7 separate regions of the Mus musculus genome follow, and regions 1, 2, 3, 4, 5 and 7 are each reported to be linked to region 6. The links are microRNA targets in miRTarBase. Many come from high-throughput screens and were not tested one by one. Region 6 holds a microRNA gene; each other region holds the end of a gene's coding sequence. Distances are between the middles of the regions.

Region 1 (3,084 bases), not on the chromosome of region 6:
AACCTGGGCGCTCTGGGAGAGTAGAAAGTATTCTTAACCACTGAGCCATCTCTCAGCCCCCAGAACCTTCTATTTATGTTGGTTTGAGGAAGTAATGTACCAGGAAAGCCGCCTTACCTCTGCAGCAGGTTCTTAGTGGCTCAGACCTGGGTTATAAGGGCAAGGACCGAATTCAGAAAGCTAAAACGCCTAACCTGTCTTGGTTTTGGCGCCTGGAAAGAAATGCAGTCCCACAGGAAACAAGGCTTGGACTGACAAGATGGCTCACCAAGCCTGACCATCTGAGTTCGAGCCCCAGGATTCACATGGAAGGAGAGAACCGACTCCAACAAGTTGTCTAGCTTCCACACACTCTATTACATATAAGCTTTGTCACAGCTGGCACTCAAGAATCAGCCAGGGACATGAAAGAGAACCTCTCAAATGTAGCCAGCGTCTCACCCTCACCATCTTCCCACAGGCTCCGACACCCCCCTGGAAGACAGTGCCACAGACACAGCTTCGTCACCAGGACCATAGCCATCCAGACAACCAGAGTCTGGCCTGAGCCAGAGCGCCACATTAGGAGATCCGAGCCTCCCCGTGAAAGATACTGTGAGGCCTGGGAATCCCTCATGTTGCCTGGTCTGTTCCCACCAGACAGTCCAGTTTAGTGTCTCTTCCTCCTGTTAGCCCAAGTCTCCGTGGCTTTCGTCTCCTAAGCATGCTGACCACAATAGAAAGGCCTCCACCCCACATAGCCAGTGTGGGGTGTGCTATGTGCACAGTGCCCTTGAGGAGGCTTATGTATAAATGCACTTTCTTCCTCCTCTTCTTCCTAGGCCCCGAGACAGCTAGATGCCTGGCTCTCCTCTTTGCCCTTTAGTTTCCTATAAATATGTCTATTGTATGTGTATCTTTGCCATTGTAAATAACTTAGCCTTTTATTCTGTCCCTGGCATGTTCAACCAGTCACAGAGAGCCAGGCAGCAGCCCCGCACAGGGCCATGATTGTTTATGTCCCACTGGCAGGGAGGTCTCCCAGATTCCAGTGCTGTCAAGCTCCAGGGCCTGCCCACCTCTGAAGCCTAGGCCTTCTCAGTGTCAGGAAATGCTCCTGCAGGGAGTGTCTTACCCAGCCCTTCCCCACTTGCCCCATAGAAACAATACACCAGGTACGGATCTCAACACAGACTCTCAAGAGAGATGTGGAGTGGATTGCTGGAGTCCCTGAGTTAAGTCAGGGCCCTTCCTTCCCCAGGGGCCACAGCACCGTTGGCTCATCACCCTGTCCTCACGCCACTCCCTACAATGAACATACACACTGTGCTAGGTGTATATATACATATATATAAATATATATAATATATAAAATATAGATATGGAAATGACTGTTTTACTGTTAAAATAATGTATACTCTTATTTTCTTCCTTTCATGGTTAAGATTTTTTTAAAGAAAAGTTAAATATTCTTCCATTGTGGTTGTATGATTCTTAGCCTGATAGAGGGTGTGAGGCTGCCGGTGTGACCGGTCAAAAATGGGTAGAGGGAGACAAGAAAGCCCCTGCCACAGCCATCCTGCACCAGGTCTTTCCACCTGTCCCAAAGTGCCGGTGTGTAGACCTTCTCAGCAGAGGTTGGACAACTGGCTCTGGCCCAGAAAAGGACATTGTGGTTACGTCACACGAAGGAACAGGGCTGCTGTGACCTACTCTCAGATGCAAACCATGAAGAGGGTTACCACACTGCCCTCCTTCCCACAGACCAGGAAGAGCCATGGCAGCTGAGCCATGCCTTAGAGGACCTGGGACATAACTGGAAAAGCCATGGTGCACCTTAACACAGTGACTGAGACTCAGAGCAGCCGGAGAGATCCCCAGAGCCACTTGCCAGCCGGGGCTGGAGCTCTGGAAGGTAGAGGAGGGGCTAGAGATGAGGGAGAGTTACCTTGGTTGGAGATTCCCTGGAGGTTGGCATGGGCTCTCCAGAACCCTCAGCAGAGGCAGCCCTGCTCTGGATGTCCATGATTTCTAGTTGCTGACCTGCCTGCCGTGTGTACGTGTGTCTAAGGTTTGGCCTTTGTTATGCAAATTGGATACAGTACCCTCTCCAGAGTGCCCTCATCTTTTAAAGCAGAGCCCTGGCCTCTGGAAAACCAGACAAACACATGGAGATAGCATCAGAGAAGGCTGGGTTCCAAGCCCGCTCCCTCCGTCATTGTGCTAACCAACCCCCATCATCCTAGTGCTGTGCATGCTGACAGAGATGGCCCGGAGGATGCTGCTGGGACTCTCAGAGCAATGGCCCTAGCCAGGAGCTCAGCTCATCCCCCAATGGAACCATGGTGTGATTCAGGCCAACATTCGGCCCTGTCTAGCCAGGGAATATGAACAGACTTAAGAACCTAAACGTTCCAAACAGGTATGGAGTGATTTTCAAGGAACAGCACAGCAAGAGACTATGTTACTGGTCCAAGCTACCTCCCAGGGAGACAGGCTGCCTGTAGGAGACCTAGGTAGCTGCAGCCTCCTCCTCCCTGGCCTTGGCCTTCACAGGGTCCCTTGGCAACATCAGTTCTTGAATCATGACGTGTGTTGGACACTGTGGGTCAAAGCAGTTTTTCTGAAAGAAAAAAAAAAAGTTGCCAGGATAAAGATTTGTCTCCAGGAAAGAACAATGCCCGGGACAGTTTTAGGGCTGTTGAACGGGGGGGGGGGGGGGGGGGGGCAATCCCAGCACTGCTAATTGCAGGAAACAAACAAAGAACTGGGGCAAGGAGACCTACCGCCAAGGACAGCCACAGCAGACCCAGGGGGGCCTTGGGTGAAGTCTTGGGCTTGGAGACCTGAACCTGGTATTGCACAGCAGTGAGGAAGCCTTCCAGCCCCACCTCTGTGATTTGGTTTCCTAAGGGGAAGCACAGACAGTAGCATCTGACATCACTGGCAGCCTGCCTCCCCTCCACTTCCAAATTCAACAGGCAGAGCTGACTTTAACTAGCCCTCTTCTCACTACCCTTCACTTCCCTTTACCCTGCTGATGCCTCTCCCCCACCTAGCTATCTTATCCATGTCACTACTGCCCTGGATCACCTCCCTGACCCA
Region 2 (3,084 bases), not on the chromosome of region 6:
ACATGAGAGGCTCGAGCTTCTATACTCAGTAGAGCAAATACATACACACACACACACACATACACACACACACACACACACACACACACACACTCTTAGCAGAAGGTACCTCATAGTCTTTCCTAGTCGTCTCATACATTTTGAATCTTGATGTCCTTTTGGTTTTGTTTGTGATGAGAAAGCATCTAACTAGGCCCTTGCTGGCTTTGAGCCTGAGGTCTTGCCTCATGCTGCTCATGGCTGGGATTACAGGTGTGCACCACCGCGCCTAGCTCATACATGAATCTCTTCTGTAAGATTCATGTATTTCGTGGAAAGAATCGGGGAGAGGGCAGCAAACCCGACAGAACAAAGTAAGCAAGCACAGCGGAGAGGCTAAAAGTCACTAAGGAAAGAGGAGGAAGCAGCAATTCTAGTGAACAAAACACACACACAATTCTTTCTCAGGTCTGGCGTTTGCTGTCTCTTTCTTCCCAGTGTTTATTTCCAAGAGATGATGTTTCTGAAAGAGAAAAACCAGCCATCATTATGGTTTACACAGAATCACTATGGCCCTTAACTTCAGTTCTAAGTACAGGCAAGCCAGATAAACTAAATTACACACATTCAGATTATACGTGGCAGAGAAAAATTAAACAGCATCATAACAGTGCTTAATTTTTATCGATACTGGCATTAATCAGAGTGAATTATATTCTCTACAAATATAAAATGCAGCTATTGTAGCTCTTTCCAAATATAAAAACAAGTTTCATTTTAACTTATCTAGTCATCCCTTTAAGAACAATGTTAGCACCTCTATTTACAAAATTTATAATGCAGCAACACCTTTGTTATGTACATATGGTTTTAGACAGGGTCTTATTAGACCAAGCTATCTTAACTCCACATCTCACACGCCTCAAATCCCCAAGACAGCACTGCAGGCTGACTAATACCTGGCTGATAACTACTAACGAAAACCACACAACACAGTAGTTATAAAAGCCTTAACATTTGGAACACATATATCTGGAAGTAGATTAAGTAAGGTGAGAATAAATATCCAGTTTTATTTTCCTCCCAAATGAGAAGAGAATGCCTGAGTACCTATGTTATCTCCTCATTCCATGCCCTGCAGGTCCAGACTAACCGAGAAAGAGGCTGTAGCCCAGGGCATACCCAGAAGCTGGGACAGCTCCTCCCCTGTCAGCTGTAAGCTCCAGCCTGCAAGAGGGGGTGAGGTGTGGGGTGCACACCAAGAGCCTGCATGGACACCGTGAGCCTCTGCTTCCTCATCAGACAATAAGGTCATTCTACTACATGTGGGGGTGGGGGCAGGGAGCTACAAATGTGTGTAGTATATGGATAGGGAGCAAGGTGCACTCAGCTCTGCCCACAGGTGTGTGCCATTCTTCCTCAGATTGTTCCCACCTCCCGTTTTACTATGCAACATGAGTCTCTCAATGGCCTGGAACTGACGAGCAAGTTAGGCCAGCAGTTGCTGAGCCACAGTCTCCACTTCCCAGTGCTGGGATTGTGACAGCACACACCTTGCCCTGCACTTCTGCTTCAAGGATGCTGTGAGGACTGTGCAATGTGAGGCCCAGCCCCGTACACAGTGCTGTGTGGGGGAAACTAGCGTGTGTTATGTTTTAAATTCAAACATTTACCGTTCTAGGCTTTCTAATTTTCTAGAAACAATTGAAAATGGCAGCCTTATCTTAAATTATATGAGCACTCTCAGTATCTCTCTGAGGAGAGTTCACTACACAGATGAATAGACCAAAGTACAAATGATTAATTAGCTGGGCTAATCCCAGAAGCCTGTGTCATTGCAGGCTCTTCAGTCGGTCTAGTTAAAATCTTCATTAAATTCAAGATCTTAAGCTCAAGCACACAAAACAGAAATCAAGTATAGAGATGCTAAGGCACGACAATGGGAAGGAACTGTTGCTCAGGGTGTCAGCTTAGGTGCTAGCTTCCTTAGGGACAAACTCAGCAGAGGTGCGCACTCAGTCAGCACTGCTGTTCCAGAGGAGCGACAGCCCAGGGAATCCCAGGAGCTGCTGCAGGAGCATGGAAGAGCCAGCTCTGGGCTGACACTGCACCAACCCCACCCCTCCAGCACACACACAGGGGTGAATAAGTGGGGTAATCTCATTTTGTCCACAAGTTCCAGTTGGCTGCTGGCCATGACTACTTTCTGATGGCCCCTGTTCTTGCGGGGATCCTGACAGTAAGACACGGTTGGGAACTACTGGGATGGGCCCAGCACACTCTCTCTGAACAGTGGCACAGCACAGCCTGCTCCAGTGTCACAGGTGACAGAGTGCCTACCTTCCTCGATCTTCTATCCTTGCCCAGACTCAGGACTAAAGCTACTGCAGCAGACAGAGTCAGTGAGGCCTGAGAAGACGTCAAGTCTGGACACAGTGTGAGGCTAAGCTTCACCTCATGACCATCTTTACAAGTCTCTTCACATACTGACGATGTGAGCAATTTCAAATCAAACAGTAAGAAACGGCTTCACATAAGCACCTGGAGTCGGGTGCATCACAGAAGGGGAAACGGGAAACTTACTTAGCTTCTCAGCAGCTTTTTCATCTCTGTGAATTTACTTTGGTTGGTTGGATTGTTTAAGAGGAAGAGGAGAATCTGTTCGTGTTTCTCAATCTGTGGATGCAAAGGAGACAGTATGATTTCTCTCTCAATGTGAGGCAGCGTGTGGCTTCATGTAGGAGCTGCACCTACCTGTTTCTGTAACTCTGTGCAACAGCAGTCTCTGCTGTGTGGTATCTCTAGAAGCAAAAACAAACAAAACAGGCCTAGGTCATGGCAGTGAGGGAGCCCGCGTGCACCTGTGTGTCGGGGTCTAAGTGTCAACTCCCCAGGACATCACCCACCCAGTCATGTGCTGTGTGTGTCCTGGACTCTCAGACCAGCACTCCATCTAAAGATTAGGTCTTCTATGATGTCTTAGGTCTTCTAAGACTTCTCCTGTTGCTCAGATCAAAGAGAACCCGAAGAAAGGCACAGGCACAGTTGCAACCATTCCAAAGCTCTCAGTCTCGACTCCCACAGCACCAGTGTCCCTGACCTTGG
Region 3 (3,080 bases), not on the chromosome of region 6:
ATTTATTCATTGATTTCCATGTATTTAGGTATTTTAGGTAGTTAGTAGTATGATACCTTATGACTTTTCAGACATCCTTACTGTTTCTTTAAAGATGCTTTTAACAGACTATCTGTACAAGCAAAATAGGCTACCTACCAAGTAAGACTTCTGTGGCTTTGTACCATCAATACTCATTAGCAGCCATCATAGGGAATAAAATTCATCTTTACAAAGGCAGAGAAATAATTATTAAACTGTGCTTAGAGGACTACCCAGGGAGAAGAAAAATGTAATAATTTATCCAACAAGAGCAGCTGACAGCCAACCGGGCCTTATTACTTGCCACGTAATTCACCCTGTGGTCTGTCCTTCTACCTCTAGGCTGGGAATTACCTGGAGTTCACTTGCTTAGCCAGAAGCGGCAGGAACTTCAGCAGCAGCAGGGAATGAATAAAAAGCCATGGCCCTGCTTCTTCTGCAGCTAGACTGACGGATGCACTTTCTAACTTCTAGTACCAAATTTTCTCTGATGGGTTATTGTAGCTCTTTGTATTCTATATTAACTGTATCCCCTCAAAACTGTTTGCACAAGAGGGTCTGCATGTAGCTTCTGGGGACCTGCCCCCAGTTAACTGTGATTGGTAATTAAAGATGCCAGCAGCTAATAGTTGGGGAGACAAGAAAGAGGATTGGGGTTTCCAGGGCTTGGGACCTGGAGGAGGAGGAAGAGCAGAGCAGCACTGCCTGAGAGTGAGGGCCAGAGAGGCAGAGCTACCGTGTAAAGGTCAGGGGCAGCCAAGATGGAACATAGGAACTAGTAAGTAGTAACTTGGAATTATCGGTGGGAGGTAGAGTCTAACACCATGGAGGGTAGGCAGTTGACCAGCTATTGTGCTCCTTAAAGCATATTAAAATATAAAGGTTGTGTGTGTGTCTTTCATTTGGGAACAAAAACCATTGAGGTGGGAAACAACCTTGTGTAGGGATATATTAAAAATAATACTCCTACAGGTTACATTATATAAAAAGAGTTCAATAACATTTATATATATATATATATAAAATTTATATATATATACATATATATATATATAAATTTACTGCTTTATTTTAAATACTTTATTTGACAAGAATCAAGAGTTTCTGGAAGTCCTTTTCTTCCTCTCCTAAGGAGAGCTGACCTCCATTTCCCAGAGAGGAGAGCAGCAGGACTTCGTGCTTTGGAGTGTGGGACACCCTTTACTGGAATTTGCGGATATGATGTCGCAGGGAGTTCTATAATCTTTCTGACAGCTAGACACAGGATCACCTATGGGGTCTTCACAGCATCCCGGCCAGGCATGTTCCTCATACTGGTAGAAACAGCTCCTCCATACCCAAGGGCACAAAGGAAAAATTATTTAACAGTGGAACAGACCAGTACAGTAAAAGCCCAGACAACACAGAGGAGTCCAGGAACATAGCTGGAGGCAAAGAATGCAGGCTTGCACAGTTTCCAGGGGCATCTACAGAGCACCTTTCTACTCTGTGTGCTTTCTACTCCCAAGAGATTAGCAGACACAGAAATCCTAAACACACAGCCGTTTCCCTGGTCGGGGCGTGATCGATTGATCGATTGCCCACATGTGGACTCCTGGCTTATATGCCATTTGAGAGTGTTCAAGTTTTGTGAGAGACAGGTTATGATTCATTTGGAAATCCACGGAAGCACTCAATGAAAACCCACCATTTTCTTAAAAAACAAAAAACCCTCCACCCTGCCTTTTAAATAACCAGTAGAGGCTGATGCAGGGCAGAGTCCAGCCCTGGTGTGCTGTGCATGTCCCTTGTTGCACACTGACGACACTGTGAGAGACTCTCCCCTCTTAAGTCATTTACAAAGTGCTTAGCGTGTCACTTGCTCGCCACCCTCAGTCTGTAAAGTTTCCTCGTTGGCTGGGCATGATTTTGAAGTTATTGCTGATGCTAGAATCTCACAAAGAAAAACAGTCCCCAAATGCATCCAAGTGGGGGAAAAAAATCGCATGACGCAAGCGTCAAAGGGAGCTTCCCTGCCACAGCCAGCCCTCTGATGAGAAATGCTCCGCTAATTCTGCCCTTTATTAGTGAATGAGCACAGACTAAAGGCACAAGCTGCACCAGCAACCAATGAGCTGGGAACCAGCCAATGAGCTGATGGGAAGCTGGGAGCTCTGTACACATCAACCTGCACCAGAAGATTCCTGGTGGGGGAGAAGCAAGTGACAGGGATGCTTGCTAGGAAGATGACATCTCGGGGAAGGTCTGGCTAACCCTAGTTAAAGTGCGAGCAGTTTCACACACCTGCTCTTAGGTCCCGAGGAAGGGTAGCAGCATGAGGCACCAGTCCTACAAGGTGGATCTGAGCTGTGCAGCCAGAGGCGTGGTGCTGAGCTCAGCCCCAGTCCCGAACAAGTCAGCAATGACTCCCTCAACGCAGCAAGTTCTCCCTTTTGGAATCTCTCCTCCACCGCCTCTCCCATCTGGAAAGCGTCAGTGTGGGCTGAATACATCTCTGGTGCTGAAGCTGAGGCACTAAGGATGATGGGGCTCTGCTTCTGGGCAGGAATGCGGGCTCTTCACTTGATCATCTGGGTCTCCTCATCTGCATCATAGAACTCTTCCTCCTCCTCACTCTCACTGCTGACCTTGTCCAGGGGCTGCAATGGCAAAGGAGATCTTGTAGAAGTGATCATGACAGGCCTTAATGAGAATTACCACCCAGGCACTCACAGTGCAATTTTGCTGTTGTTTTGAGACAGGGACCCATGCAGACCAAGTTAGCTTCCAATTTTCTAAGTAGCTGAGATCACCTTCTGATCTTCCTGTCTCTACCTCTCTAGTGCTAGGTTTACAGGGGTGTACCACCACACTCAGGTTTAGATGGTTCTGGGGATCAAACCCAAGGGCACCTAGATGGTTACAGCATGTGTCTCTATACCTGTGGAGGATCCAAGGTCTGTAGAGATAGCGCTTCCTCTCCTAACCTCCTATATGAGTACATTTGAAGATCAGAAAATGTCTCCAGCAAAGGGCTGTTCAGAGTCTCTGGCAATAGCAGGCTCAGGAGGCCTGAGGTC
Region 4 (3,081 bases), not on the chromosome of region 6:
CTTCATCATCCAGAGTTCACCCCAGACCAACCAACGGAAAGACAGCTGGCAGTGAATGGTCCTCAAAGTGGAAGTGATGTCACCCACCAGCACCCCGAAACAGCCCGTTTAAACCATCCCAGCCTTCCCGCTGATTCAGGGAGTCCTCGGCCCCCTGTAGGTGCTCAGGCTGTGGCGGAGGGCGTCTGTGAGGCCACACCTGCCCCTACAGCCTCCTGTACCCCTGCAGAGGCAGAGCTACAAAGTCAGGGTCTCCCTGCAGAAAATACCCCGGGTCCGAAGCCCCATAAACCAGAGGCAAACACTTCTGGTCAGGCCCCACTGTCCCCAGCCCAGGGCTCCCTATCTGTAGTAGAGGCAAAATATGATATTTCACCATCTCCAGAGAGTGAGGGAGATTCTGCTGTGGTGCCCGGCTGTGAGTCTAGGGAGCAGCCCCCACCAGAAGTCACAGACATCCCCGTAGGCCCTTCCACTGGACTCCCCAGAGAGCCCGATGCTTGTCTGAATGGAGTAGACTAAGCCTTGTTGATTCTTCTGGCTGCTCACCTGACTGCATCTTCCTCACAGAAGAAAGTCTGTGAAAGAAACTTCTAGGACTAGGAAGAGTTAGAGTCAAGACATTTTTAAAGTTGTACAGAACACTTCCAGTCTTTGCTGCTGTTTGCAATTTATAACTAATATGGAAATTCTCTGTGATTTGGCAGCCAAACACATCAATAGCAAATATACATTACTTTCCCATTACATTGGTGCCTTAATCCAGTTTGTTAGCAGTAAGATTTTGTATTTAAGGACTCCCACTATAACAAATAAATACACTGAAATATTACATTTATTTCCACAAATAACCCAATAAGATCTATAATGGATATCCAGGTTCCATTTAAATAGCATAATATACAGTGTACTTATGTGTATACACAATACACATAAATACATTTATGTATACACATACACATGTATTTTCATACGTGCATATAAAGTCATCACACAAGTATATTTTGCTCCTAACAGATTTTTCTCTATTGCAAGATATGCTTGTAAAAATTTTTCTATCTTACTTACACTCTGGACTACAGTAGATTAAAGCTCTATGGATCAGAAATAGCACATGTGCTACAATGCCTGGACACAAAGAGGACCACAAGAGGCTTTTAACAGAAAGGGGAAAAAACACAAACAGGTGCTTCTGATCTTCTCAGCCAACTTCCTCCCAACTTCCCAGCATCACCTCCTGGGTTGAGGCAGCCGCCTCCTGGCTACCTGTGAGAAGGTGGTTGGAAATAGAGAAAGCACCTAAGTAAGATTTGAGAGGTTGAGTATCCTCAGCTTAGAGGTCTCAGCCTCTTTGACTACTGATATCTCAAGAAAACACTTTTTGTTGTCTCTGACATTGTCTTTATCTCAAAGCATCTATTCCTTCCAAATTTCCTCCTTTGCGTCAATGTGTGTGCCTGGCCCACATCTCAATTAATGTTAAGTAAAATGTATTTTTCCAAAACGGAAATACATACGAGCTCTCAATAGGAGTAACAAGGCTTACAAAGCTAACACATTTTCTGCTCTAAGAATTTTTGAACAGGCAGAAGTACAAAATTTTTAAAAGGGGGGGGGGGCCTCCTACTCATAATTCAAAAATAACAGGCAAGGACTCCATAGATGTCAAAAGCAAGAAGCACTTGGGATTACCCAAACAAGTTTTATACTCTCATTGTTCGCAAAAACCTCTAATAACACTGGCAGCATAAAATGCTCTGCCTAGGCTCAAAGAAAACTGTACTAACAGAACAGGGAGAGGTGGGAAGGAGGGAGACAGAAGGTGCATAAAGAGAGGACGGTCTAATCTAACTCTATGTTAAGAAGTTGAACACAGGTAGAAATGTGGATAAAGGAGGATTCTTGAAAACTCATCCAGGAAATCACTCTTCAGTGGTGCACGTGGCTGCTTGCCAATGCACACGAGGAGCTGGGAGGCAGTAGCCATATGTTGAAGGAATTATAAAACTGTATAAAATTTATTTGAAGTAGACAGTAAGGGAAAGAACAAAAATACCATTTGGGGAAAAAATCAGGGGAAAAAGCATGCCATTATTTGAGAACCCATGTGTTTTCAGAGGCTTTGCATATTATAACCACACGGGTATCCAGCCAAGTTCAACACCACTGGAAATTAGACATTCAATTAACTCAAAGCCAAATATTCACTACACTAATCCCTTCTCTCTGTTTACAGGAGCTGAGCTTCAAAGAACAGAGTAGGATCATCACAGTTAGGTCTCAATCCAAGAGCTTAGGAAGACAAACAGGCAGGAGGCACTGACATCCAATAAATTAAGTGTTCTCATATCCAAAGTTTATTATTTTCATCCAAGAGGGTTTCACAGCAACATATCACTCACAACTGTGTGTACCTTTGGCACAGTTTCACAGACTACACCTTCCCTGAAATCTGTAAAGCTTTAATATAGACTTTGGGAGAATTATTTTAATAGTAAAAGAATGTTTTATTATAGTTCCTTGTGTTCAAACTTGGCTGTACTAATCATAACAACTCATAAGATCTGAAAGCAGAAAATATATCTCTTTTTATGAAGTTCATATAACTATTTTTAGAGATGCCAAGTCTTTCTAGAAACACTGGAATTATTGCTTTCTAAATGTAATAACATAATGTTTATACCAATTAAAAAGGCATTTCTTCCAAGTTTTCTAGTAGGTTTTTTAAATTATTTTTTATTGGATATTTTCTTTATTTACATTTCAAATGTTATCCCCTTTCCTGGTTTCCCTCTCTCCCAGAAACAATCTATCACATCCTCTCTCCCACTGCTTCTATGAGGGTGTTCCTCCATCCACCCACCCACTCCACCTCCCTGCTCTCATTTCCCCTATACTGGGGCATCTATTGAGCCTTCATAAGACCAAGGACCTCTCCTCCCATTGATTCATGACAAGGCCAACCTCTGCTACATATGCAGCTGGAACCATGTGGACTCCTTTGTTGATGGCTTAGTCCCTGGGAGATCTGGGGGGGGGGGGTCTGGTTGGTTGATATTGTTGTTCTTCCTATAGGGTTGC
Region 5 (3,084 bases), 150 Mb from region 6:
ACTGGGGTGAGCTTATGGGATCTCAGAGACCAGAGGCCTTGACCGTCTCCTTTGTACAAAGGGGAAGGCGTGACAGGGATGTCAACCAAGCAGAATCAGGTGAAAGCCCCTGGGCTTTCCCTCCTCCCAGGACTGCTCACACAAGTCCCACTCTGTCCTTTCCTCCTCTAAACTTGCTGTCACCTAGCACCTGCCCCGGGGGTCCACAGGCTTAAAGTATGGGAGAAACGGGCAGCCCGTGGGCAACCTGGTCTCCGAGTCCTTGTGTGCAAAAGAAGGAACAGCCTATCCATCCAGCCTGTCCCCAGTGTGAGCATCCCTCTTCAGCGGGTTCTCCTCCTCTTTTGTAGACAGATCCCTCAGAGTAAGGTGTGATATCTCATAAAAATGGCCTCAGAGGACTGCTTCCACCGTGGAAGGACACAGCAAGAAGATACAAAGACCAGAAACCAGGCCTTTCCAGATACTGGATCTCTGGGCACCTTGATCTTGGACTCCCCAACCTCCAGAACTCTGAGAAATAAATGTTGTTTATAGGCCATTCAGTCTATGGTAATTTGTTACAGTGGTCCAAATAGACTAATACAACTTAATAGTTTAAAAAAAAATCCTTGTTCAATATTATGTGTGTGTGTATGTGTGTGTGTGTGTGTGTATGTTTGTTTGTGTGTTTGTGTGTGTATGTATATGTATGTACATATACATGCATGAATAATTCTGGAAATATACATTTTTTTGGAAAAACTATTAAACTTTATTATATGACATTTTTTACAAATCTGAATAAATAGGATAAAATTGTCCATAATACGATTTTTTTAAAAAAAGATATGCCTTTACAGCTGGCCAAAGGTAAAACAAAGTGACTCTGGAGTTGTGAATTATTTATCCCTAAGTGAGACACCTGTATCACACAGCAACCACCACCACCACCAAGCTCAGAGAACATCTAGGAAAAGCCTGGAAGATTGGCACAGATAATGTCTTCTGTGCATGACAGGGCCGCTGTACTCATAAATTCACAGCAACTGTTGTAGCCAGCACAAGACCTGCACAGATCAGTCTAGTCACCCTTAGTAGAGGAGCCATGTCTGTTGACGGCCACTAGAGGGGGCAGAGTCATCGTTCCTCAGTGGTGTGGCCCGTGGTGGGGTGCCAGTGCCCCAGTGGATGGTACTGCACACCCACGGGTGTATGGGCACACTAATTAGATTCAGTGGGTTATTTTTAAGAGAGAGAGGAATTGGGATTGAGAGGGAAGTGTGGAGAGGAATCAGGGGGACTTGGAGGGAGAAATGAGAGAGATGATCTAAATACATTTTGTTTGTGTATTAAAGTACTAGAGAATATATAAAATATGTGCGTGTGTGTGCACGCATGTGTGTGTGTGTGTGTAATTTCTTACATATTGCATATAGAATACAATGCATATATATGCCTGCTTTTCTGCAAACACCAAGTGTTCACAAGGCAAGGATGTCCATCCTGATCAACATCGTTCATATATAACTACAATCTAAACCCTCTAGAATTTGCAATCTCAATTAAGCTGTCGCCACAGGCACCGGCCATCCACAGCTTCCTGCTGTTTACAGGGTGTCATTTCATCATCCCATGCTATACAACGTGTCCTTGTGTGGAGAAACATGGCTTTACGATGAGAGGATTGAGGTGTTCTGGCTGAAATACTGCAGTTTGTCTGAACAACATTAAAAATGGGTAAACTGGGAGGGAGGCAGAGGCAGGTGGATTTCTGAGTTTGATGCCAGCCTGGTCTACAGAGTGAATTCCAGGATAGCCAGAGCTATACAGAGAAACCCTGTCTCAAAAAAATAAAAAAAAATAAAAATAAAAAAAAAATGGGTAAGCCAGGTATAGACTCCTCCTCAAGTGATGCAGGAAGCTGAAAGATACCACAAGGAAGGGCTTCTAGCCACACTAAGTAGACATTCATCTGTTTGCTCAAGCAGAAATTACAGAAGGGGAGAATGGGAGGCAGGCAGAAATGAGCTAAAATGTTTATTCTGGAATAAAGGAATCTAAGGATGTTGCAACCATGCAGGGAGTGTCAGTGTATGGACTTGGTTCTGAAAACTGCTTGAACTCATTTAAAAAATGTATCTTTAATCATGTGCATGTCTATGTGTCTGTGTAGAGGTGTGTGCCTGTAAGTGCAGATACCCAGAAAGGATAGAAGAGGGTATCAGATCTTCTTGGTCTGGAGTTAAAGAGGTTATAAACCACCCAGCATGGAGGATGGCAAACTAGAGTCCTCTGCAAGGGCAGTATGAGCTCTTAACTGCTGAACCATCACTCCAGCCCCACAAAGTCATTTTTAGAACAATAAGGAAAATAGAAAGCAAACACAGCCGGGCATGGTGGTGCACACCTTTAACCCCAGCACTCAGGAGGCAGAGACAGGCGGATTTCTGAGTTCGAGGCCAGCCTGGTCTACAGAGTGAGTTCCAGGACAGCCGGGGCAACACAGAGAAACCCTGTCTCAAAAACAACAACAACAACAAAAAGCAAACACAGAGGCAGATGATTAGGTGTGACAATGACAAATTCAGTTCTCCCCTTTCTTTCAGAGTTGATAGAGGGTTTTGCGATGTAGTCCAGGCTAACCTGGAACTTGGATCCTGCTAGCTGCACACCCTGGGTGCTGGGAATGTAGGAGTGCATCACCACACTCAACCTAAATGATCATATCTTAGAGACCCATACTGAAATATCTATGATGTGTTGGGTTGACTTGAAATTTTAAATTTCAAAAAAATAATAGTTTGGATGTACACAAGAAGAAATGTAAGATGTTCCTGTTGAGTTTGGAATGCACAGAGTTTCATAAAAAGGGTTACTGTTCTCCTGTATGTTTTTGGAATGGTGATAAAAAATGTTATAGCAAACAATGAGTTGGGTTTTTTTCCCAACTTAACAAAATAATCGAGTTCATATGGGGCAGTGAAAGACTGTGATGTAAGAGGTAACAATGTAAATTAGTAAAATTCATGGATACCAGAAGTCGCTTAAACATAATGTAGCTGTAACTCTTACAACAGAAGCACTGGATCACAAATAAGGAGG
Region 6 (3,084 bases):
CATACATAGGGGCCATCACATTATTCCAGGATGATCTCTAACTGCTCATGAAGTTAAGCATGAAATTGAACTCCTGATCCTCCTGACACTGACAATTGTTTACACCTGGTGAGTGAGAATATTCACTGTCCCTCTACTTTATAATCAGCAAAATTCTAAGACATAAATCATTCAAATGGATCAATGAGTGTCATTCTTATGTGTGTGAGTGTGCATGCCTGTGTGTGTGAATACATTTGTATGTGTGTGTATTTATATGTATGATCATATACACACATGTACGTGCACACACAATTATATGCACTTGTGCATACCTAGGATCCATCACACAAATACAGGGTGATCTCTAACTCATTATGAAGTTAAGCATGAATTTGAACTCCTGAGACTTTTAACTCTGGCAAGTGGTTTTCATCTGATAAGTGACATTATTCCCTATACCATGAATATACACTCAATGAAACTCTAAGCACGTATAAATCAAATGGATGACTGCCATGTGTGTTTGTGTGCACATGAATGTGTCCCTAGTTGTGTGGGTGTATATATATATATATATATATATATATATATATATATATATATATATATATATGCATGTTCATATACGCGCATGTACAGGCATACTTCCCTATACACATAAACACAAACACAGGGAAAATCACATGAATTCCGGGCTGATCTCTAACTCATCATAAAGTTAAACATGAATTTGAACTGCTCATCCTCATGATGCTGGCAAGAGTATTCACCTCCTAACTGAGTCATAGCACGGGCCATTCGTGGGAGTATGTTTGCATGTGAGTATATGCATATTCATATACAGAAGTGAATATGTACACAACTATACACACCTGCACATTCTTGGTGGGCATCACATGAATCGCATGCTGAACTCTAACTCATCATGAAGTTAAACATGAATTTGAACTCCTCATCCTCCTGACACTGGCAAGAGTGCTCACCTCCTAACTGAGACATAGCTCTGGCCATTCCTATGAATGTGTGTGCATGTGTGTATATGCATATTCATATAGAGAAGTGAATATGCACACAACTATACACACATGTACATTTTGGTGGGCATAATATGAATCCCATGCTGATCATGAACTCATCATGAAATTCAGCACGAACTTGAACTCCTGATCCACCTGACTCTGTCAAGGGATTTCACCTACTGAGTGAGACCTCTCCCCATTCAGTACTGAAAAATCTTAAAACTCTAAGTCACATGTCATTCAAATGGATCGATGAGTTGCACTGATGTTTTTGTGTGTGTTTCTGTTTGTGTCTGTGTACATGTACATATTTGTGTAGATAGGTACATCCATATACTCAAATCCACACACAATAGAAACAGATACAGATAGGGATACATAGGGGACATCACATGAATCCCAGGCATATCTCTAAGTCATCATGAAGTAAAGCATGAATTAGAACTCCTGATCCACAATCTTTCACACCTGATGAGTAAAACCATTCACTGTCCCACTACTTCATAATCTTGAAAACTTTGAGTCACATGTCATTCAAACGTATAAATGAATGCAATTTTTTCCTGTGTGTGTGTGCTTGCATAAACACGTGTGTTTATGTTATGTATATCATGTCAACACATACAATGCACATACAAGTAAGCACACATGCACATACATGGGTTGCATGACATTAATACCAAGATGATCTCCAAATGAAGTTAAGCATGAATTTGCAATCCTTATCCTCCTGACTTTGTCAATCTTTTACACCTGGTGAGTGAGTCCATTCAATGTCCCCTATTGCATAATCTCTAAAACTCTACATCACTTATCATTCAAAGGGATTGGCGAATGCCATTCCTGTGTCTGTGTATGTGTGCTTGCGTTTATACGTGTGTGTGTATGTTATGTATATTCAAATATAGACATGAACATGCACACACAACTATACACACATGCACATACATGGAGGAATCACAGGCTGATCTCTCATGAGGATAAGTGTAAATTTGAACTCCTGATACTCTTAACTCTAGCAAGCATTTTCACTCTAAGTCACTTATCATTCAAATGGATTGACGAGTGCCATTCCCCTGTGTCTGTGTGCTCATATGTGTCTTATGTGTGCGTGTATGTATATGTATATCATATTCACATATGTACATGCACACACACATCAACACATATACACATACGTAGGGGCAATCACATGAATGCCAGGATGACCTCTAACTCATCATGCCTTTACTATGAACTTGCACTCCTGATCTTCCCGACTCTACCAAGGGTTTTCCCGTGGTTTGTGAGACCTCACCCTGGCCCAGTCATACATAACCTCCAAAGCAGTAGGTCACATATCATTCAAATGGATCCGTGAAGGCCATTTCCGCATGTCTGTGTGCATGTGTGTGTAGGTGTGTGTATGTATATGCATAAAATATACACGCATATACATGCAGGCACTTACGCACACGGGCACATACATAGGGGCCATCACATTATTCCAGGATGATCTCTAACTGCTCATGAAGTTAAGCATGAAATTGAACTCCTGATCCTCCTGACACTGCCAATTATTTACACCTGGTGAGTGAGACCTTCACTGTCCCTCTACTTTATAATCAGCAAAATTCTAAGACATATATCATTCAAATGGATCAATGAGTGTCATTCTTATGTGTGTGAGTGTGCACGCCTGTGTGTGTGAATACATTTGTATGTGTGTGTATTTATATGTATGATCATATACACACATGTACGTGCACACACAATTATATGCACTTGTGCATACCTAGGATCCATCACACAAATACAGGGTGATCTCTAACTCATTATGAAGTTAAGCATGAATTTGAACTCCTGAGACTCCTAACTCTGGCAAGTGGTTTTCATCTGATAAGTGAGATTATTCCCTATACCATGAATATACACTCAATGAAATTATAAGCACGTATAAATCAAATGGATGACTGCCATGTGTGTATGTGTGCACATGTATGTGTCCCTAGTTGTGTGGGTGTGTATATATATATATATATATATATATATATATATATATATATATGCATGTTCATATACGCGCATGTACAGGCATACTTCC
Region 7 (3,082 bases), not on the chromosome of region 6:
TTTCTGACCATGGCACTTCTTAGACTCATTGGACTGCCTGCCACTTGGGTGCATGGGGTCATTATGATTAAAAAAATTCTGGTTTTTATGTGGAAGTGCTTTTAAGTTTTGGCGAGTAATGTTAAGCAATGTTGTAAGCCAATACTAGACACTGAATGTTCCCCACGTGTGAACATGCCAATTGTAAAACAAACGAACAGAAACAATAAAAAACAAACAAAAGAATCCCTTAGAAACAGTAAGGTAAATCTATTTTTCTTTAAAAAAAAAAACCCAGCTTTTGTCTCACTGACAGTTTACTTAGGAGGGAACAGGGGAATATAAAAGTTTATAGGTACAGATTCAATAAAATATACACTGAAGAGCAGTGCATGAAACAACTCAGTTTCTTTTAAAAAGCTATATGAAAGCATAAAAAACCTATATATTAATATGGAATTTGAAAAACAAACAAAATTCAAGATAGAGATCTTCCTAGATCCTGATTCAAACAGACTGTAAGAATGCAAGAAGATTGGGAGATTTTTGAATACCAACACTGACTGGTATTTAATGTTTAAAAATGCTTTGGCTATCTAAAACGTACCTCATCCTTAGAGACACTTGGGTCTCTAAACTATTCATATGCAAGAATATTCCACCTCAGTGGACCCAAGTCAGTGCCCCCGAGCGAGGTGACAAGGCAGGCAGGTGAGGATACAGTCAGGGAGGACAGAGCACAGCACAGCTGTTGATGTTGGAGGCTGTAAGCACGTGGCTTCACCATGCTGCCATTGCGTTTAGTTTTTGTATATTTATGAAATTTTTCTCAATAAAATACGTTTTTAGAAAATAAGTTTTGTTTTAATGCTATTATCCTACAAAACATAAATAAAACTTTTATAAATACTTCTAGAAAATAAACAAAAACAGAATTTCCTGATGGACCATTAACTATAAGTACATTAAGTAAAAACCTGTAATTTATCTAAAAACTAACAAAAAATAGTTTTTACTCCTTTTTTTAAGGAAAAAAAAAAAAACCATGGTCAAGGCCTCAAACTGGTTATATAGGTGAAGATGACCTTACACTCCAGACCCTCCTGCCTCTACATCCCAAGTGCTCAGTGTGGTCCACCACAACTGGCCTCATTTTCCTTAAATTTATCTACATCTACTTATCCAGTCATGCGTTGCATGTATGGAGAGAGTGTGCTTTGGAGGTCAGAGGAAAACTTATGGGAGCCAATTCTTTCCTTTTCTCATTTTGGTCCCAGGGATCAAACCTTGTTACCAGTCTGTGCAGCAAGCTCCCTTACCCGATGAGCCACCTCACCAGCCCCCCATTCATTGAAGATATAACAGAAATGTTAACATTGGCGAGTTTAACTTTTGCTCATGTTTAGACATGTAAGGAGAGCTGGCATGCATGCTCACACATGCATAAGTACATGTGTGAGCACACACATGCTTTGGCAGGCACATGCATGCAGTCTTCCTCAATCAATCTCCACAATAATCAGGGAGGCAGGGGCTCTCGATTGAACCTATAGCTGTCCTCTGATACCACTGGTCTGGCTACACAGCTTGCACCAGGAATCTTATCCCCACCCTCCCAGTGTAGCAATTATAGGAGGGACAACATGCCCATCGCCCATCGCCATTTACATTGGTTCCTGGGAGCTGAACTCAGGCCCTCGAGTTTGCTTGGCAAGTTCTTTAACCAGTGAGCTATCTCCTCATCCTGGTCAAGGCTAATTCTTAACCGCACTTAGCCACAGAAGTGTTTTTATAGTTAATTCCCACCAACTCTCGCCACAAACAAAGAGACCGTTTTCTTTCCATTATCCCTCATGCTCCCTAATAGCTCTCACTCTGAAGGACTTCCAGTTGATCATGAAAAAACCCAGAGACTAATGAAAAACTAACCTGGAAGAATTATATACTGCACAGAAAAAAGTTTAATATTATTATTACCTCTGAGAATTTCATGCAGAGAATGCTGATGATATTCACCCCATTCTGCTGACTCACCTTCAGCAGTTAACTTGCCCCAGGTCCCTGCTCCCGTCATTCACCCCCTCTGTTAACTTGCCCCAGGTCCCTGCTCCCGTCATTCACCCATTCTGTTAACCAGATTCATGCTCCAGTCTTGCTTTCTTACTCATGCATCTTCAAGTTTTCTTTTTTGTTTTTTTCAAGACAAGCTTTCTCTGTGTAGCCCTGGCTATCTCAGAACTTGCTATGTAGAGCAGGTTGGCTTTGAACTCAGAGATCCTCCTGCCTCTGTCTCCAGAGTGCTGAGATTAAAGGTGAACCCATGGAAGCCAATTTGTATTGCCCAACTATTCTTGGGAGAGGGACCTGCCTTGGAGTGTGATTGGCCTACCAAAGGTCGCTCCATTTTTTAAAAAAAGCAAAACAAAACATACATACAAGTGATAGTATACAGGTTATATTTAGAAATGTGTGTGTGTGTGTGTGTGTGTGTATGTATGTGTGTGTACAACAGTTAATGAGAAAAGAGGCCATGTATTTGAAATTGGAACATAACAAAGAAGGGTTTAAAGGGAAGAAAAGGGAAAATTATGTAAATGTAAATTCAAAAGCAAAAGAAATTCTAAAAAATAAATTAGACTCATCCACACAAAAGTGCACAGATAAGCCATGTGAACTGTGGAGAGCACACATCATTAGGGAGGGAAGAAGAGCTTCTTCCGTAGTGTGAAGGTGGGCTGTGGCATCTGCTTTCCCTTGTTCCTCCTGTCGTCTTTATTGCTCACGTCATAGTTCACGCCAGTCAGGATGCTAAGAATGTCATCTCCTCTGAAAAAGAAAGCAGCGTAAGCATATGGGACAAGGCAGTGTCCACCGTCTCACTGGCTGTGCCCACCGTCTCACTGGCAGTGCCCACCGTATCACTGGCTGTGCTCACTGTCTCACTGGCTATATCCACTGTCTCACTGGTAGTGCCCACTGTCTCACTGGCTGTGTCCACCCTCTCTCTGGCTGTGCTCACTGTCTCACTGGCTGTGCCACCCACGTCTCATTGGCAGTGCCCACTGTCTCACTGGCTGTGCCCACCCTCTCACTGGCTGTGCTC

What was found. The annotated mature microRNA mmu-miR-466e-3p reads UAUACAUACACGCACACAUAAGA and lies in region 6 at 2,101-2,123, opposite strand. An mRNA with a match to its seed (bases 2 to 7 or 8) in the 3' UTR can be bound and repressed. Matches are read on the target gene's strand: a 7mer-m8 pairs with bases 2 to 8, a 7mer-A1 pairs with bases 2 to 7 and ends in A, and an 8mer does both.
Region 1: the mRNA of Lrrc71 is a reported target of mmu-miR-466e-3p. Seed matches in the 3' UTR shown: 8mer at 1,320-1,327.
Region 2: miRTarBase lists Tdrd1 as a target of mmu-miR-466e-3p. Seed matches in the 3' UTR shown: 7mer-m8 at 38-44.
Region 3: miRTarBase lists Slc22a15 as a target of mmu-miR-466e-3p. Seed matches in the 3' UTR shown: 8mer at 1,057-1,064.
Region 4: miRTarBase lists Txlnb as a target of mmu-miR-466e-3p. Seed matches in the 3' UTR shown: 8mer at 944-951.
Region 5: the mRNA of Wfdc12 is a reported target of mmu-miR-466e-3p. Seed matches in the 3' UTR shown: 8mer at 681-688 and 7mer-m8 at 687-693.
Region 7: the mRNA of Casp8 is a reported target of mmu-miR-466e-3p. Seed matches in the 3' UTR shown: 7mer-m8 at 2,408-2,414.

The regions. Positions count from the first base shown.
Region 1 is chr3:87,736,584-87,739,667 of GRCm38, forward strand. It overlaps Lrrc71 (leucine rich repeat containing 71), which reads right to left. Exons shown (of 15, transcript NM_028971.1): 14 at 2,766-2,887; 15 at 340-2,602. The coding sequence ends at 2,492. It overlaps Arhgef11 (Rho guanine nucleotide exchange factor (GEF) 11), which reads left to right. Exons shown (of 40, transcript NM_001003912.2): 40 at 461-1,456. The coding sequence ends at 519. Among named protein-coding and RNA genes, the nearest start is that of Lrrc71, 10 kb to the right of the region's middle.
Region 2 is chr19:56,866,121-56,869,204 of GRCm38, reverse strand. It overlaps Tdrd1 (tudor domain containing 1), which reads right to left. Exons shown (of 26, transcript NM_001002238.2): 24 at 2,734-2,780; 25 at 2,563-2,655; 26 at 1-502. The coding sequence ends at 2,563. Among named protein-coding and RNA genes, the nearest start is that of Vwa2, 6.8 kb to the left of the region's middle.
Region 3 is chr3:101,857,860-101,860,939 of GRCm38, forward strand. It overlaps Slc22a15 (solute carrier family 22 (organic anion/cation transporter), member 15), which reads right to left. Exons shown (of 12, transcript NM_001039371.2): 11 at 2,942-3,080; 12 at 1-2,660. The coding sequence ends at 2,580. Among named protein-coding and RNA genes, the nearest start is that of Mab21l3, 23 kb to the left of the region's middle.
Region 4 is chr10:17,842,959-17,846,039 of GRCm38, forward strand. It overlaps Txlnb (taxilin beta), which reads left to right. Exons shown (of 10, transcript NM_138628.3): 10 at 1-2,705. The coding sequence ends at 522. Among named protein-coding and RNA genes, the nearest start is that of Gm20655, 8.9 kb to the left of the region's middle.
Region 5 is chr2:164,186,950-164,190,033 of GRCm38, reverse strand. It overlaps Wfdc12 (WAP four-disulfide core domain 12), which reads left to right. Exons shown (of 3, transcript NM_138684.2): 3 at 351-803. The coding sequence ends at 375. All of the region lies in intron 2 of A730032A03Rik (a long non-coding RNA gene), which reads right to left. Among named protein-coding and RNA genes, the nearest start is that of Wfdc12, 2.1 kb to the left of the region's middle.
Region 6 is chr2:10,490,428-10,493,511 of GRCm38, reverse strand. Gm25285 (predicted gene, 25285) reads right to left here and starts at 2,176; the gene lies at 2,087-2,176. The region is part of intron 10 of Sfmbt2 (Scm-like with four mbt domains 2); the gene reads right to left. Mir467a-6 (microRNA 467a-6) reads right to left here and starts at 2,464; the gene lies at 2,382-2,464. It overlaps Mir669a-8 (microRNA 669a-8), which reads right to left and starts at 1,946; the gene lies at 1,860-1,946. It also overlaps Mir467a-7.
Region 7 is chr1:58,846,345-58,849,426 of GRCm38, reverse strand. It overlaps Casp8 (caspase 8), which reads right to left. Exons shown (of 9, transcript NM_009812.2): 9 at 1,924-2,805. The coding sequence ends at 2,673. Among named protein-coding and RNA genes, the nearest start is that of Gm28802, 49 kb to the left of the region's middle.